Drosophila melanogaster: one gene and its partners. The protein of the gene in region 3 interacts with the protein of the main gene of each other region in a biochemical or structural test. Each region holds a gene or a part of one and is shown on either strand. Other genes may lie near its edges.

Region 1 (6,935 bases), on a different chromosome or scaffold from region 3:
TGACACGAACATCAAGAACAACTCGGCTGCTCATCACTGGTGTGCGCTCTGTTCCGAATTAACGGTTGTGCTGCTTTCCTATTGGTCAATTGGTAACTGGAAAGATCGAAAGGGCTGCCAGCTGCAGCTTGCTAGGGATTCTGTTGGCCTAGTGTCTGGGACCCGACAGTTGTCTGCGAAAAATGTTGCCCCGTCGTAAATTTTGTCAAAAATTTGTGAATTCTCAGTGGCTGAACACCAGGCAAACAAAAATTGCCACATAGGGCAGACATCATAAAGTAACTAACGGTTTCTCCCCATCTTTGGCTTCCTATTGGTCGAATGGGCTGACTGGAAAAGCGTAAGGCGCAGCCATCTTGAAAAGGATCAGCTGTTTTAGTTAATTTGAGCGGCCAGCTAGCACCTGTTACTGTTTCTGTTCGCCTGGTGCCTGAAACTTGTAAAGGTGGCAATTTCGACCAGAGAAATTACGATTTTAAACATCCCATCCTTTGTACGACGACGTAGATCGACTACGAAAATGTTTAAATAAATACAATTAACATCAATTTGTAAAAAGTATATTTGTATATAAGCTTTTATATATAATGTGGATTGCATTAATTTGATTTGTTTTTTTGTTAGTGATTTTTAAATCGCGGGGAGTCGCGACCGATGGATGTGTGTGTGTGTGGTGATCAAGTATTTAGTACAACTATTTCAAAGTATTGGGTTAGCATATGAATTATATGGTTGGCTGGCGTTGAGCAAAATTAAAAGATGTGCTAAAATAGTTTGTTGAAATTAAGTTAAAATGTCAATTTAAGTTTTAATATTTAAAAAAAAACAATCATAAAATAGTCGAACGTGCGCCGGAGGGGCCAGTGTGTGGCCTTCTGCGCCGAATTTTTAGTTCTTGCCTTAAGTCTAGTCTGCCCCCATAAGCCCCGTGTCTATGTCTCGTGTTCTCCTCCTTCGCCCCCTACGCAACCTTCCGTGGTAACAGCAGTCTGCTGCTCGGCTGACTGCAGTTCAGGGTCGTCCATGACGGCCTTGACCTGGCTGATTTTCGAGCGCTTCGTCTCTGCCATTGTACCTAGTCCGGGCTCGTCGCCAAAGCTCAGCATGCGCTTGCCGCCGCGTACCTTTTCGTTCATAGCCTGAAGGTCCTGCGGGTATAGCAAGCGGATTAATCGATGTTATAGCTGAGGAGGTGGACGCAACTCCGAAATATTTACCTTGGCGGGGCTGCGGCAAAAACTGTAGACCATCTGGTTGGGCGACTGCTGTATCTCGTTCTTGGACATCTGCGACACGAACAGCGAGTGGCTCTGGGTTACCTTCTTGGGCTGGGCGGCCCGTTCCTTCGGATGCGGGGAGAGCTGTAGATCCGAAGCCCGGCCACTCACGTCCGGAGTTACGTTTAGGTAGTCGATGACGAACTGCCGCATCAGCGGCACGTAAGTGTGGTTGTAAAAGTGAATGATGTCCTTCACCTTTGGCTCCCCGTCCTCGTTGATGTCGATGAACACCTCGCGGTAGACGCTGTTCACCGCCTGCGGCTGGTTGCGATATGCCCGCATAATGTCACTGAACTTGGGGTCCTCCATTCGCTTTACCTGCGGGTTGTAAGGAGTTGCATGGATGTTATAAGTGGGTCTTCAGCTGCACACGGACGAATGCATCTGATTATGTGCATTTCAAAATGTATGCCAGCGAATCGGACAGAGATAGAATGTGGATGTGCTACTCACTCTTATGTAGATATATATTGCACACATAATATTTTGATCGAGGTGGCGGTCCTTCATCAATTCCGTCTCGTGGGTGATCGAGTGCTCAAAGATGTGCCAGATGCTCTCGGGCGTCTTCTCGCACAGTGACAGCTCCGAGCACAGCTTCTGGATGCGCAACCAGCCAAGCAGGTACACCTTGCGCAGGAATATCTGCAAGGGGCCGGCGGCGCGGTCGAGGTTAACCATGAGCCACGTGGGCAACGGCAGTTGGGCGGAGGCGATCATTTCCCAGACGGTCGAGTTCCTCGCCCAGGCCAGCCGCTCCAGACACGTCTCCTCGATGGAGTTAAGGTGCTTTATCAGCGACCGGTTCAAACAGCCTTCGTGCGAGCCGTGCCGCACCACGATCTCGATGATCTTTTGGAACTCGAACGCGCTAATACTGAAACAGTCGAGCACCCACGGGAACTTGAGCTCCGTTTTGTAGGCCTCCAGCACCAGCTCCACGCAGCAGGCCATCAGCGTGATGTTAAAGATGACCAGGGAGACCTTCTGCACCAGCAGTCGCTTGAGATCGATGTCGGGCTTGTTCCGAATTTCCGCCTGCAGGATCTGGTCGAGCAGGTAGAAGAAGAAGGACTTCGCTAGTTGGAAGCGACTCTTCGCCTCCGTTGACGGGTACTTGGCGAGGAATTTCTGCTCGATCTCCTCGATGATGCTAAGCAGCTTGGCTATTACCTCTTCGCCAGCTTGCCTGGATAAAGACAGGGCGATATCAAAACATGAGCTATAGAAATCAATCCCGGATTTAATCTAATCGATTCTTCTTACATCAACAGAAATTTCTATGGATGTGTGCTTCGGCTAACGAAATTCGATATTCGATATTTCCTACGATTTATAAAGCAATCAAATAAACATGAGTTTTGTTTACACGACGCCAACGACTTTCAGCCATTTGGACATAGAGATAAGCCTTTTCTCTCTCACAGGTTTTGAATGATAGTTAGGAACACTCGACACCCAACCCAAATACAAGGCCAGCCGGCAACTCACTTGACAAAGTCCGTGGGTTCTGTGATCCGTCCGAAGGCGCTCAGCTGCTTCACGTTGTTAGTGGCGTTGCGGACGGGCTCAAATTTATCGCCAGCCATCGCGGGCTGCGCAGGCAGATCTTGCTTGCGGGTAAGCGGAGTAACCGGCGGACGCAGGGACTGGTCGTTGAGGGCAGTGTGTTCCCCCGCATCGTAGGCACTCAGAATGCGTTCGTCGAATTCGCCGACGCTGAGGACGTACTGCTCGTAGCTGATGTTGAGGGACTTTAGGTTGCGCTCGAAGTTTTCGTTAGCCAATAGGCCTAACATAGTGTCCTTGTTGCCGTAGATGGTCTGGTCGAAATGAAAATAGAACAAATTAATTGTTTTAATGGAAATCCGAAACGGCACTCCTACCGAAGCCTGAAAGAAGCTCGACATGATCTGGCGGAAAGTGGTGGCCTTCATGGCTTTAGCCTCCTCGGTCATGTCACAGAAGTTGGACAAAATGCAGTGCGGATTGTGACGAAAGTCCAGCTCCGTCCAGTTGCTCGGCAGGCCCTCGAATTTGGGGTTGATGAGATCGGTGCGCTTCTCGGCCAGCACATTGTTGTATATCAGGTCTATGCAGCAAATCATCAGATTGTAGGATGTCACCAGGTCCACGGTGTTGCTCGGCTTCTGGTTCTTGGCGCAGAGAAACAGGCGCCAGCAGATGTCGTCCAGCTTGATGTACGAGCACTTTCCGTGGGCGTGGTTGCCATGCAGAGAACTGTTCCAAAGAGGGAAGCTTTTTATATACACGGGGTCAGGCTGACATGATGATATACGCACATGTACTTGGAGTGCTTCTTCTCGTTGGGCGGGCACGAGAAGATCATGTCCATAATAATGCGGAAACGCTTGTGCAGCATGAATGTAATGCTGAACTTGCGGTCCAGATCCTCAATCTCGTTGACAAACTCCTGAGGCAGGTTGGCCATGTCGCACCACTGCTTAATTTTGGTCTTGAACTCGTAGATGCTGTGGGTGGGGATTGTGGAAATGGTTAGGTGTGAAACTGCAGGCATAAACGGCAACCCACCTCATCTTGCAGCAGCGCAGCAAATTGTTTAAGGACACACAATTACCCTTGACCACTGCATTCTGGCCAGTCACCGTGGGTGTGCTGGTTCTTCGGCAGGCCGTGTAAATGGCGCAGCACATCCAGTGGCTGGCTGTGCCCTTTTAGGCAGGCAATGCACAGAAAGAATGAAAGAAAGGACGTTAGGTTGGAGGCTACTGCTGCCACTTCGAAGCTCACCTCCATGGAGCACCTCTGGGACACCTCTAAGTACGTCTCGTAGCCCTGCAGCTCTGTCTGCCGATCCATGTTTAGATCCCGGCATAGGTTCGTGTACTCGGCGTTGATCATCTCCAGGCGGTCGTCGCTGGTCGCCACCAATCCGCTGACCACCTCAGCTCCCAGTTCCTGCGGGTCAGGCTCGCTCATGTCTGCGAATGATGTCTCTGTCCCGGCTGATTGCGTATGCTTGCAGCGGCGGCCGCTGCTTCTGGCGACAGCCTGGAGTCGGAAATCGGAGACGGAGGCGCCTGAATTGGAGCTAGCCGGCTAACCGGGGCGTTGCGGGCCTGGCGCCGCTGTTTACGTCTAGTGGCCTGGCGCCTAGTGGCTGCCGGTGTATGCTGCGCTTGCCGCCGCGCTCCTCGCGGACATGTAACTGCGAGAGCTTACACTTAATTACAGAAATAATGAAGTTTCCCGCCGAAATGATTTGGGCGTGTGTGTTTGTGTGCGAGTGTTTGTCGCGTGTGTGTGTGTTCGCGATACACCCTTTTCTGAGGAACACAACAAAAGAGCAGGCGAGGGGACAGAACAAACAGCGCTGGGATGCTGCGATTAGCCAGGACCACACCACGGCCACGGTTGTTGGTTAAAACACATTAACAAAATAACTATTTCACAACTTAATCGCCATGGAAAACGCGGGAAACTTGACTAGTTGCGGCGGGCAGGTGCGTGTGATCCACTCCGCGTTCGAACTATCCACTTCTAGGGCTGCGCGGACGATGTGGCCCTAGGGATGGACTTGTGCAGAAGGAAAACTAATTTATTGCCACTACTTAAAGATTTTGCAATTGCGATTGCATAGTCAGAGTCTGACACGTTAATACAAGTTAATGGATTTTTAGTTGGGCGGCCGGTATTTCGCCAGCAAAGCCATGCGGTCACACCGACGCGCGCATTCGGCCAGTTTAAACGTGGTGGGGTGGTATTACTACAGTGCTTGGCGAGTTATGCAGTGACTGCAAGCAGTATGTCGTGTTGCATACATACCTAAATTGGGGGACCCTAAAATGAATTAGAACGAAATAATTGACAAAAATATGTGTACACATATAATTTATTTGCAATGCACAATGCTATTTGCATGTGTGCGGTAAACTGACAGTGTTGGTTAGCGTTCAAGAGCATTGCACATCGGCGATATAGCTAGTTGTAATCGATAGCCGCAAATTTAAATACTGCTTTGAACTTTATGGAAATTCGCGGGAATTCTTCGCGATTCAGCTACTAACATACATACATATACACTATACAATTTAGAGAACTTGCTGTCGCAGCACATACGACCCGAGCTACGACGTGGCTAACGTAGATACCGTCTTCTGAACCTCCTGGCCAGGAGGTGGAATAGCATGTGTCGCCGCATAAAGGCCGCCGTCAGACCTGCCGCCGTGGACAGCTCGTGGTTTTCTTGAGAATCGCTGGCCAGACTGGAGCTCTCGAAGGAATTGGAGGAATTGAAAGAGTCAGAACTCTCTGCCTGCGTATTCTGATCCGCACCAGTTCTAGCACTTCTCCAAATGGGTGTTGAAGAGCCGTCGGACTTACAGCCACTGGTGTTGGTTCTGGAGTTCGGGATCTGGGTTCTGTCGGGATGCTTCTCCAGCACAAGGCAATGCTGTCTTTTGAACGGTTGACTAGCAGACACACCGTACTTGGCTATCGCGCGGTTGAGCTCAGGATCGGGGATGTATGCACCGCGCGACAAAGACTCCGTTTTTCCGATCGATTTTCTTTTGGAAATATACCCGCTGACATATCTTTTTGGTCTAGAGAAACGTCTCGCGGAGGTTGCCTTCTCAATAGTCAATTTCCTCGCGGAGGTTGCATTGTCAATGGTCAAGTTCCTCGTGGATTTTGCCTTGTCAATAGTCATTTTCCTCGCGGAGGTTGCCTTCTCAATAGTCAATTTCCTCGCGGAGGTTGCATTGTCAATGGTCAAGTTCCTCGTGGATTTTGCCTTGTCAATAGTCATTTTCCTCGCGGAGGTTGCCTTGTCAATAGTCAATTTCCTCGCGGAGGTTGCCTTGTCAATAGTCAATTTCCTCGCGGAGGTTCCCTTGTCAATAGTCAATTTCCTCGCGTTGGTTGCCTTGTCTATAGTCAATGTCCCCGCGGAGGTTGAGTTGTCAATAGTCAATTTCCTAGCGGAGGTTGCCTTGTCAATAGCCAAGATCCTCGCAGAGTTTGCCTTGTCAATAGTCAAGTTCCTCGCAGAATTTGCCTTGTCAATAATCAATTTCCTTCGCTCCGCCTCCTCCGTCTGCAAAGTCTTGTGGTGCACCTCAACGCGATCCACAAGATTCTTGGCCGCCTTCTGATCAGCTAAATTCATCTCTGCACGCACCTTGCGGAGAGCAAGGCAGTCAATGATGCTATGACTCTGCCAAGTGACCTCCAGGTCGGCGGGGATTGGTGTTCCCTCTGACGCCAAGCAGCCCTGACTCGTCATTACTTGTTTCTGGCAAATGTCCATGAACTTGTCTCGCCGGCTAAGCAACGCGTGAGGCGCCAGGTCCACATCCCCCAGTTTCCGGTGATTAAAGTGGGTGATTAGTTTTCCGGTATGCGAATTTACCCCCACGACGGTTGCGACATCGAAGTGCTCTGGACAGCGTATGCGCATCTCGCTGAGCGAGCAGGCCAAATCCAGATTTGACCGGCACCACACTACCATATCCTCCTCGTCGTCCTGTTGCGGCTCGACATAGGGAATTAACCGCTGCAAGTTCGGACGCGGCGTTCCCACGTCGCAGAGGGCATTAAAAGATGCAGAGCATTTCATTTCTAAATATAAAATTTATATTTTTTTGTACAAAAACTTCAGGCCAACTTATA
Region 2 (4,956 bases), 510 kb from region 3:
TAAAGCCCACCCACTGGCTTCACCTCCTCCTACTCCTCTGGGCTCCTCTCCACTCCAACAGTTGGAAACATGCCCGGCAACAATCCGGAGGAGCAAGGGTGTCTGTCGGGGGACGCGGAACGAATCGCACCGGGTTCAGAGCGCGGCTTGCCTTTCATGTTGTTCAACTTTGTACCTGCAGTTTGTTATTGTTTCGCCAATTGCGTGTGTCGAGGGCTTAAACTCAGCTTTGTGCTGCTAGACTCGCCTGAGATTCTAATGGTGGATGAGCCATTTCTGAGCCTTCATTTTAGGAGGAAAACGGTCAAACTCCGATGGTGGAATTCGCACCCTAACAGCTGTTATTGCCTTCTTATCGGCTGCGTGAATTGGTTTCTCTATTGGTCAACTGGGATTACTGACCTTCCCATACAAAGCATGCTGTTGATAACAACTGGGTTATAAATCACGTTCTTGGAATGACTTAGCATGACTAATTTATCCGTTCAATATTTATAATATTTAGGAATAGATCTAACAGCTTCAAAAATGCAGATTAATATATGATATACCACTTCATCATTTCCTCACTTGTAGAATAACCACTATTGAATCCACAGCTAAAACTGCATTTTTAACGTTCATATTTTCATAGTCGTTGGCTAACATGTTACAGTTTACAGTCTTGGCCTAATACTTTGTTGTGAACGTAATATATCAATCTGTATGAACGGAAGTTATTTCTCCACTTCGACTGGACTCAGGTGGCAATAGCCAGTGTATCGGCAGGCACTCACTTGGCAGCAATGTGATAAAGTCCCGCTGGAGCATCGGCTTGAGATAGGCATTGATCTGTCCGTGTTGATAGTGGCACATGCGCGACAGCAGGTGCTCCACAAAGTCCACCTGGCCCGACTCGCTCCACTGGGTGAAGTACTGAAAGCAGAGTTCCCGCTCCGTTTGGTAGGTGGGCGATGAGTCTTTCTTGCGCACCGGGTCGTACAGCATAGTGGTTGTGAACTGTATGGGTGAAAAGTGGCATAAAGAAGCAAATTAATTATGAGATTGCATTTGTTTCGTTTTTGTTGTTGTTGTTGTTGTTGTGGGGCGACGATGATGTGTTATGGGGTGCTTCGATGTCAAGGGGCGATCGTTAAAACTGGAAAAGTAGGTAGCTGCTGGTTGTGCAACTTTTCTTTAGTTTAGGCTACCGACGACCCAAACTGGGGGCTTAAAATTAGGCAATTAGCTTCGACTACGCTGAGCGTTTCTTTCTATTCGTAATTTTTCTCATTTTTTTTTTATTCGGCGGCGAAAGAGTTTGCAAAGCGGATTTCTGAAGAATGAAAAACGCGACTGGCAGCGCAGCGGTAGAAACAGATCATTCACACGGCCAGTTTATAAATAATAATTGTATCGATGTTTATTTGGTCTTCCATGCTCATTATGCGCATTCTATATATAGACATACCCATTGATGGGCCCCAATTAAATCAAACGTCATCAATTAAACGCTAAAGATCTCGGCAAACAATTTTATCGGCGTGAAGTAAACAAATTGGTCGATTCGAGTGTGAGTGATTTGAGTAATTAAGTTAACTGCAATGCCAGCAATGCGAAAACCTTGCCAGTATTTGTAGTAAATGTTGTGAATATGTATGTACAAACATACTAAGTTGTATTCGGGTCGGTTGCCTTAATTTAATTGCCGTATTATGGTTTTTGTAAGCTTTAGTTGTTTGCCTTTGCCTGGTAACTTTGAGCTGAAGGATGCTACTTAAACTATGCACTGATTATGCTATGAGAAAGGTTTGTGGCAATAAGCAATATGAATGTATATATCCTCTAATTGATAGTTAATAATATCTCGTTTGTGTTTCGCTGCTATTACCAAGAAGCCATCTGTCTCATTAACCAGATTCCACCTTGAATCCGGCGAAATTAAAGCCCAGATGACTCAAGCGAAACCGAGCGAAAAAATTGAAAATAAAAAACGATTTTTTTGGCCCATTACTCGATGGTTTTACGCGAACTGACCTTCAGTAAGCCGCCTATCGTATATAGCTCCACAATTAAATAAGTACTGATTGAAATGTACACGGCCGTACTTTGTGCACAGCGTTTGTTATTAATTGTGTACACAAACTCGAGGCCAATTAACGAAATCTTAAGACTCGAAAACCGGAGATTGGGGATATATACATATATATGCAACGATAATTGAACAAAGGGGATGATGATGATGATGCTGGCGATGAATAAGTAGGCTAATGTCTAATATCCACAAGAGTTTAAGGTTATAGCCCATGGGATGGCTATGTGCCACAGTGTCCGAATTTAATAGAGTGCACGAGTGCAAAATCTGTAGTATATACGAAAATAAAGCACTAGCACACGCACACCAGTGTGTGACAACACGCATAGGTGGCGTAGGTGTGCGTGCCCCTGTGTGTGTGTATGTGTGTGGGTCTATTGAGGCGACACCTTGGGCAATATGTACTTAAATCGGTGTGTTTAATGCATTTAGAAGGGCAGAGATCCCGCTTAAAGCAGGTAACTTAGCGAAAACTCACGGCCTGTGCATTGGAGTTGGTTTCGTCCATTATTTTGTCAGTCTCCATTTTCATCATTGTGTTGTTTGTGTGTTTGTAGAGTTTACTGGCTCGTCGTTTGCTTCTCTCTCACTCGCTCACTGCCAGAGTTTTCCGTCGCACTCGCACTCACGCACCACGTAGCGTTTTTCGCTGATTTTTCGTTAACACGTCTCGCAAATCGCTTTTCGCCAGCGATTTCATATAATTTTTAGGTCGAAGGAAAATTACAATTTGCTCGTCTCGGTTTCTGTAGGACCGCAGGCGGGATGCGCGAAAACGGCGAGGCGAACGCGATGGCAAAGGCAAACTCAACTTGCCGAGGTCCCTCACCAATTGAGCGAATGTCGTATGCAAGTCATTATTCTCACCGCTCCTGGCGGCTTGCACGTTGTTTGTTTTTGCTTATTCAGATGACGCCAACTACTGGACACTCACTTTTCACACGGAGAATTTTATTTTTTTTTACCAGATCTCGCCCAAATACGGACTGCGAAACCACAAAGCCAAAGATGAGTGTGCACTATCGTTATCGATATCTGTCACATATATGAACGGTCACACTGCCACGGGCCAGTGCTGCAAAATACGGCAAGAGCACACAATTTCGTCGTTTCTGCTCTAAATTTTCGAACAGGTTGTTGCAATTACAACTATTTATGAAATGTTTTTAAGTTATTTCCCTTTCAGAGCTATGAATTGTAAGCATTGTATGGCTACCCAACACACTTTGCCAGCTCTGACAACTCTGCACATCCATATCAGCTGATTTCTCGATCGCTCTCTCCGTTTTCTGTTGTTATTTAATTGATAAACTTGTTGCGGGGGGCCACTCTCCAGATAACCCCCCACTTTTAAATTAATAAATATTGCGCAAGTAAGTGCCGTCCAGCTCGCCGAATGCTCACTTTCATTCGACCGCAGAGCTGTTCCCATTCTAATCATTTCCTTGAGCATTCATAATCGAGCTACAATACACATTTTTTTTCAAATTCACAGTGCAACTAACTCAAATCCTCAGGATGGCGTGCCAAAACCAAAATGCCGCCAACTTCTTGAGCAATGGCAAGAAAATTGTGGGGGTGGCTCTCAATTACATGTAACTCAGTGTCATAGTAATCTTGGGTCTGCATGGGTAATCCACGAATACTTTCTTCCGTCGCAGGGACGTTGTGCTGGCCAGGAACGTTCCCGTGCCCAAGGAGCCGCTCGTCTTCCTCAAGCCCACATCTTCGTACCTCCAGGAGGGTCAGCCCATTGTGGTGAGTTCTACAGAGAATTAATTAAGATAACATTAAGATAGTAGCAAGATAGCAAAAGTCCATAAACTGGAGAGTAAACGAATGGAAATTGAAAATCCCTCTTGTGATTTAAACTTTGTATTCCCCCAGTTACCAAAAGTCTTTACCAAGGTGGCATATGAAGTGGAACTAGGCGTGGTGATTGGAAAGCCCTGCAAGAACGTATCCAAGGCAGATGCCATGAGCTATGTGGCAGGATACTGCCTGGCTTTGGATCTAACTGCCCAGTGCAATTTGGTAAGAAGATGGATGCACTCAATCAAGAGCCATTGTTGTAATCAATAATCAATTTCAGGGACCAGCTCGGGCGGCCGGTCATCCGTGGACCTTGGGCAAGGGATTTGATACTTCTACGCCCGTGTCCCAGTTTATACCCATCGAAAAAGTGACGGACCCGCACAACTTGCCGCTTTGGCTCACCGTCAATGGAGACCTTAAGCAAAACGGGTGCACTGCAGACTTAATATTCAAGGTGCCCGACATCATTTCCTACGTGTCCAAGTACATGACCCTGGAGGCCAACGATCTGATCCTTACCGGAACGCCCAATGGTGCCGATGCGTTCAAGGCAGGCGATGTAATTCAGTGTGGAATGGCCGATCTCGCTAAATTGACCTTCCAAGTGGAGGCTGAATAAAAGTGAAGAATTTAATTTTGATGCTATATTCGGATATAATTGGATATGTGCAATGGCTATTTCTTCTTATTACTGGCCACATCATCACAGGCAACCAAATATTTCCACATCGCTGTGCAATCGCTGGTGTTTTTCCATTTGCTGGTCGGGCAGTTGATGTAGACCTTTTCCATGACGCAGGCCAGCAAGGTGGCAGGATAGAAGTCGCAGTCGCCCTTCTTGGGCATCCATTGGAACTCCTGCACCCGCTTCCTAGCTATTTAGAATTAACCATTATTAAGTAGAAAAAAACTTTCGTATGCTAACTCACCGTAGTCCGTGCAACTATTGAGGCTCTTCAACATCAGTTGCGACATATTCGGATCGTTTTTGTAGCGTTGCTGATAGCTCTTCTGCAATGCCTGGGTATTAACAGTGCCATTGCTCAACAAGAATCCATTGGTCCTGA
Region 3 (4,954 bases):
CACCTTTTCACTGCCACTACTCTGCTCTCACGTTCTCCGTGTTAATTTCGAATTAGTATAGCAACAATAACCGGCCGCAAGGTGTAGTGAAGATTGTTAAATTAACGGATCTTTACTCTTTATAACTTAAATTTAGTCTGCCCCCGAATAATAAATATGCCCAATTGCAGACATGAAATCTCAATTCACTAATTAATAAAATATTAGCTAAAATCCCAATTCGAATGCAACTAATGGCTGGTATTTAATTTGCAGCCATAACTGTATTCCTCTGGCATGCCAATTTACCGTTATTAATTATGAAGATCATGCATTTACATGGCTATTAATTATATACGTTGTTATGTATGCAGACTCACGCACACACAGGCATAAGCACAAGCACACGAAAACATACATATGTATGTACATGCATGCTCACTAACACCCACACAGATACCAAGAGCTAATAAAAAGTTTCGCTTTCTTTTTGCACATCATTTTGCATGCGCAGTAAAAAGGCAGGGACAAGTGAAATAAATACAAATAAATAATGTGCGAGTGTGCAAGGTGTTAAGCAACAACAATTGCAATAGAGGGAAAAAAGTGAATCAAAAGCCAGAAAAAGAGGAAGAACACGAATTTTGTGTATTAAGCGGCAGTCCAGAGAGAGAAAGAGAGAGTCTCCCACGGTGTGTGTGTGTGTTGGAGGGGGATGCTGCTAGGGAAAAGAGACTGAGAGTAAAAGCCGGCCTGAATCCGAATAACAGCTGTTACTCACAGACACAATCCACATGGAACATCTCTCTTCATCTTTTTGTTGTTGTTGGTCCCATGGATGCTTTTTTCTAGCCGGTTTTATTTTCTCTATCATCTTTATTTCATTTGGTCAATTACACACACTTGGCTTCTTTCTTATGAACCGCAAGGACCGAGACAGAAGGCAGCCACTTAATTGCACACTTACAGAAATGAAATAAGGTAATAGTAATATAAAATAAAACGGCTGTAAGCCTCGCCTTAGCTTTTTTCGTTTGAGAAAGCCAAAAATAATTGCCAACTGGCCAAGTCAAGAAAAAGAGAACGAGTAAAAGAGAAGGCGGCTTTTTGTCCAGGGAGAGGCGCACAAAATGCGTCGCAAAATATTTCGCCCACAGAAAACTGCAAACATAATGAAAGCCCGGGAAAGGAAAAATTATTGCGTGGGTGTGGAATATCAATGCCGGCAAGGAAAGCAGAATGAATTCCAGGGAAGTCCCCTTTGCGTTTCATACACCAAAATTTTGTACATAATGTACAAAACTTCATTTCGCCTGGCCATTTACGCGATGACGCATTTAGAGCCAATCGAATATTGTGTACTCACAAGGCCTGATAACAGGGGCCACACATAATGTACACACTATGTGGTGCAGTCGTCAAGTACATGCACAGATTAAAGCGGAAAACTGTTGATGCAAGTCCAATTAACCCGACGAAACTGGTAGAAGTAACCGGCAAATTCAAGACCACAGAAAATATTAAAGAGACAAATGATCTGAGATTTTAAAACATTTAGATCACTTTAATTTGTAAAACAAACACATTACCTAATTATTACATGTCTATTGAACATTTCAGTTGATATTTATGACTGCAGTGCAGCTTTAATTTTGCATTCCTCAGTATCCACGTCAACACAAAAACGCCAGTTAGTTGGCTAATATTGTGCTGGACGGTTTTACACAATTAATTTTAACTTGAAATGTATTTTTGTCCATATCTTCGAAGAAAAACCACGAGTTCTTCAAACTGTTACCTGCACTGTTGTCTTAACATCTAGTAAAATGTTAATCTGGGGGGCGCCATAAAGAAATCGCCGCCGACTTTGGGCAAATAGAAATAAAAACTGATGGACTCCGAATTTTCGATTCGTTATCTCTGAAAACTGGAGCGTTGGGGGATTGAATGAGTGAGCGAATGACTGCTATTCACCGTATCGGTTTTGGAGGTTATTAGAGGGCTTAGCCCAAAATTGAATGATTAATTGATCATCAAAGGTGAGGTGGAAACTCCCTTTGCTTCTTTTTTTTTGTCTTGTTTGAATACGCACCTAAAAATGGAATTTTTGTTGGTTTTACTTGCTTTCTATATATCACACGCAACCACAACAAATTGCTCTGCTTTTTTTTCCACCGCCGCCTGCTTCTTCTTGCTCTTTTTGAATATCACACACGTTTCATATTTGCAAATTTTTCATTTTTTTGCGGGCGTTTTGCCTTTTCTGTCGGTTACTTTTTGTATTCCACGTATAATGTGCTGCTGCTTCTTACTCGTTTGACTCAGTCTGTGTGTGTGCGAGTGTGAGTACGTCGGTGGTGTGGGAACTTTTAACTTTACTACGCGACGTTTTCGTTTCTCTTCTTTATTCTCTATATATTCTACGATTCTGTGCGTGACGTCAGCAGTTCGAGCATTTGTTGTAGATATCACATAATTGTTACACGCCCGCACTTTTATTTTATTTTATTCTTGATTTTTTAGAGCATTTGCTATTGCTACTCAGCGACTTGAATCTTTTACTTGCAGAGGCAGTCTTTTGCGGCTTTTTGGTTTTTCTCTCAGTTTTCCATTTTCACATTTTTGCGGACTGGCGACGAAAAGCGAACTGAACTTGGGCCACAAAGTGTGTTGTGCCGTGTCTTTTTTGGAGTCGCCGTCGCCGGCAAAACGCAATCCACACGCGGAGAAAGAGAATCGGAGAGACACGAGATAGAGAGAGAGAGCGAGAGAGGGAGTCGTCTTACGTCAGACGGAGAAAACGTAAGCACCACCGTAATGGCACTTTTAATACCGGCCACTTACGCTTAATTAGTGTATTAAACCACATTAACTTATCAATACCTCAGTCTTGTACTCTTTTCAGTTAGCTTTTCTATTTTTTTTCGGATTTTTCCGTCGATTTTCCCCTCGTAACGTGTTTTCTGCTCGCACATGTGTGTGGGGGCGGCAGCGGCAACAGCAGCGTCACGACGCGACAACAACACTGAACGCGGCGAATCGACAGAACAAGCAACGAGCCACAAAACGCACGGCGTCTCTTGTAGCGGCGAATTTGAGGCGTCAGCAGCTGAGCGCTCGCGGCACGAGAGAGTGAGAGCAGAAGAGAGTGGATCGTAAATTGAGTGGAGACAAAACTGATCAAACGATAGCTATTCGATATTACGATAGGTTGTCAATTCAAAAGGGAACGAATATTTTGGGTTATTAATATTTTGCAATGAATAAATACATTTGAGTGTTAAAAGAAAAATATAATTATTTATAAGCGAAGTTAAATACCTATAACAGCGCTGTTAATCACTTCCTGAATTGTTTTTTAAATGCTACATTATTTTACCTAATATCAGCTTTTAATTAAATCTTTGGTCCAAGTTTTATTTGAAGTTTTTAATTTTAAAATTCTGTTGATATAAAAACTAATGCTTGAAGCTAAGAGAACCACGCTAATTGCAGCGAATTAGCGGCAACAGCTGAGCACGAGAGAGAACGAATGTGGAGAAGGGGGCGGAAAGCGAAAGCGCAAGAGGGTGGAATGTGAGTGGCGCCGCTTCCTACTCTTCACATGTGGCATGTGGAAGCCAGACTCGAATGTTCGGTGAGAGCGGCTTTTGCTTTTGGCCCCCAACCCTTTTCGCTCTCTTCGGCTTGCCGGCTACAAATCGGCTAAAAATCGCTCAGACGGAAGTGGCGACGTCGCTGTTACCGCACCCACATCAACAGCGACGCCGGCAGAGAACCTTTCCCCTCCCGCTCAACCAACCGCTTCACCATCTTCTTTATCTTTATCAGTTGTGTGCCAAGTGTTGCATTGCGTTGCAGTGACGACATTGTTGTAGTTGCAGCAGCACAGCAGCGTTGCCGATTTTCAGCGCCCCATCAACAAGGGGTACACTTTTTAAGGCCGGAAATAGGCATTAAATGGGTCTATCGCATAACTCGACACTGTCGCACACAAATCTATTAATTTCTACGTATCATAAAAATTATGCCTGAGATTAAAGCCAAGTATGCTCATCTCACAGCTCACAGCTTAATCATATAATATACCTTAAAGATTTGCAACTTTATAGAGAAAAGTTAGTATTTAATTAAGTAAATACTAACTGAAGTGTAAAAATTCACCTATTTGCTGAGCAACTGACCTGATTAAAGAAACCTGCTCAAACATTTGACTTTCCATTCTTATATTATTTGTTATTCCACTATTAATCTACTTTAGTGCAAAAGCACTTTCTACTAAACAAACAATACTCATACATTCTGGAATAATGCAAAGTTTGTACTCATAAATATCCCAAAATCGCTACCATGTCACTTTTTCTAACAACAATCTGATTAAATATTTACAACTCATGCCCGCTGCCATTTGCATTCCTGGTTTTGTGTGCACAAATGTATCTCGCAAATCAGTACAACTTGCCAGGCGATCTGCGCAGTGTTTCCCATTCCCATAATCCCAAGCCCAGTAACTGAGAAACATCCCCCCCCCCTCCTACCAGAAATGTAATCTCCTTTCCAGTTTTCGATTTCTATTAACTTTTTAGGCAGTTTTTTTTTTTGGATTCGAGGCTGTTATCCTTTGGGTTTCTCTTGGGTGGGTTGCTGAGGCGAGGACACTCACAGATCCGTGAGTGTGATTTTTTTCACATTTCCCATAAGCCAGACCGGCAGACAAGAAGAAGAAGAAGAAGAATGAGAATACGAATATGAAGAAGAGGGGCGAGAATCACCCCTCACGGACGCAGAAAGAGAGGAAGAACTTTGGCCCCTGCGCCTGCCCCTTCCCCCTTCCCATCCCTTGCCCAACACATATGCAATTAGAGTATCTCTATGCTTGATTTTTTTTCAACCATTTTCTGCAAGATGGTTTTTTTTTTTCGCCTACCAGATAGAAGAGCGCAAGCGGGAACTTCCCACGATCCTTGGGTGGACT

The links.
Region 1: the proteins of E2f1 (region 3) and Rbf form a complex in vitro, tested with the Drosophila melanogaster proteins (one study listed by BioGRID).
Region 2: the proteins of E2f1 (region 3) and slmb form a complex in vitro, tested with the Drosophila melanogaster proteins (one study listed by BioGRID).

The regions. Positions count from the first base shown.
Region 1 is NC_004354.4:796,545-803,479, forward strand, and holds Rbf (Retinoblastoma-family protein), read right to left. Parts: upstream 4,936-6,935; 5' UTR 4,242-4,935; coding exon 4,053-4,241; intron 3,974-4,052; coding exon 3,834-3,973; intron 3,773-3,833; coding exon 3,584-3,772; intron 3,522-3,583; coding exon 3,167-3,521; intron 3,104-3,166; coding exon 2,772-3,103; intron 2,470-2,771; coding exon 1,734-2,469; intron 1,599-1,733; coding exon 1,218-1,598; intron 1,149-1,217; coding exon 933-1,148; 3' UTR 546-932; downstream 1-545. Other genes in the region: CG13359 (uncharacterized protein), read right to left, coding at 5,401-6,882.
Region 2 is NT_033777.3:21,124,386-21,129,341, forward strand, and holds the start of slmb (supernumerary limbs), read right to left. Parts: upstream 3,101-4,956; 5' UTR 2,610-3,100; coding exon 2,553-2,609; intron 1,000-2,552; coding exon 777-999; intron 1-776. Other genes in the region: CG5793 (uncharacterized protein), read left to right, coding at 3,593-3,669, 3,736-3,832, 3,962-4,108, 4,167-4,508; Obp93a (Odorant-binding protein 93a), read right to left, coding at 4,565-4,764, 4,819-4,956.
Region 3 is NT_033777.3:21,630,062-21,635,015, forward strand, and holds the start of E2f1 (E2F transcription factor 1), read right to left. Parts: upstream 3,013-4,954; 5' UTR 2,863-3,012; exon of another isoform or gene 2,072-2,862; intron 1-2,071. UniProt on the Drosophila melanogaster protein: Transcriptional activator that binds to E2f sites. Required for wild-type growth in mitotic and polytene tissues, Contributes to the expression of replication genes at the G1-S transition and Cyclin E.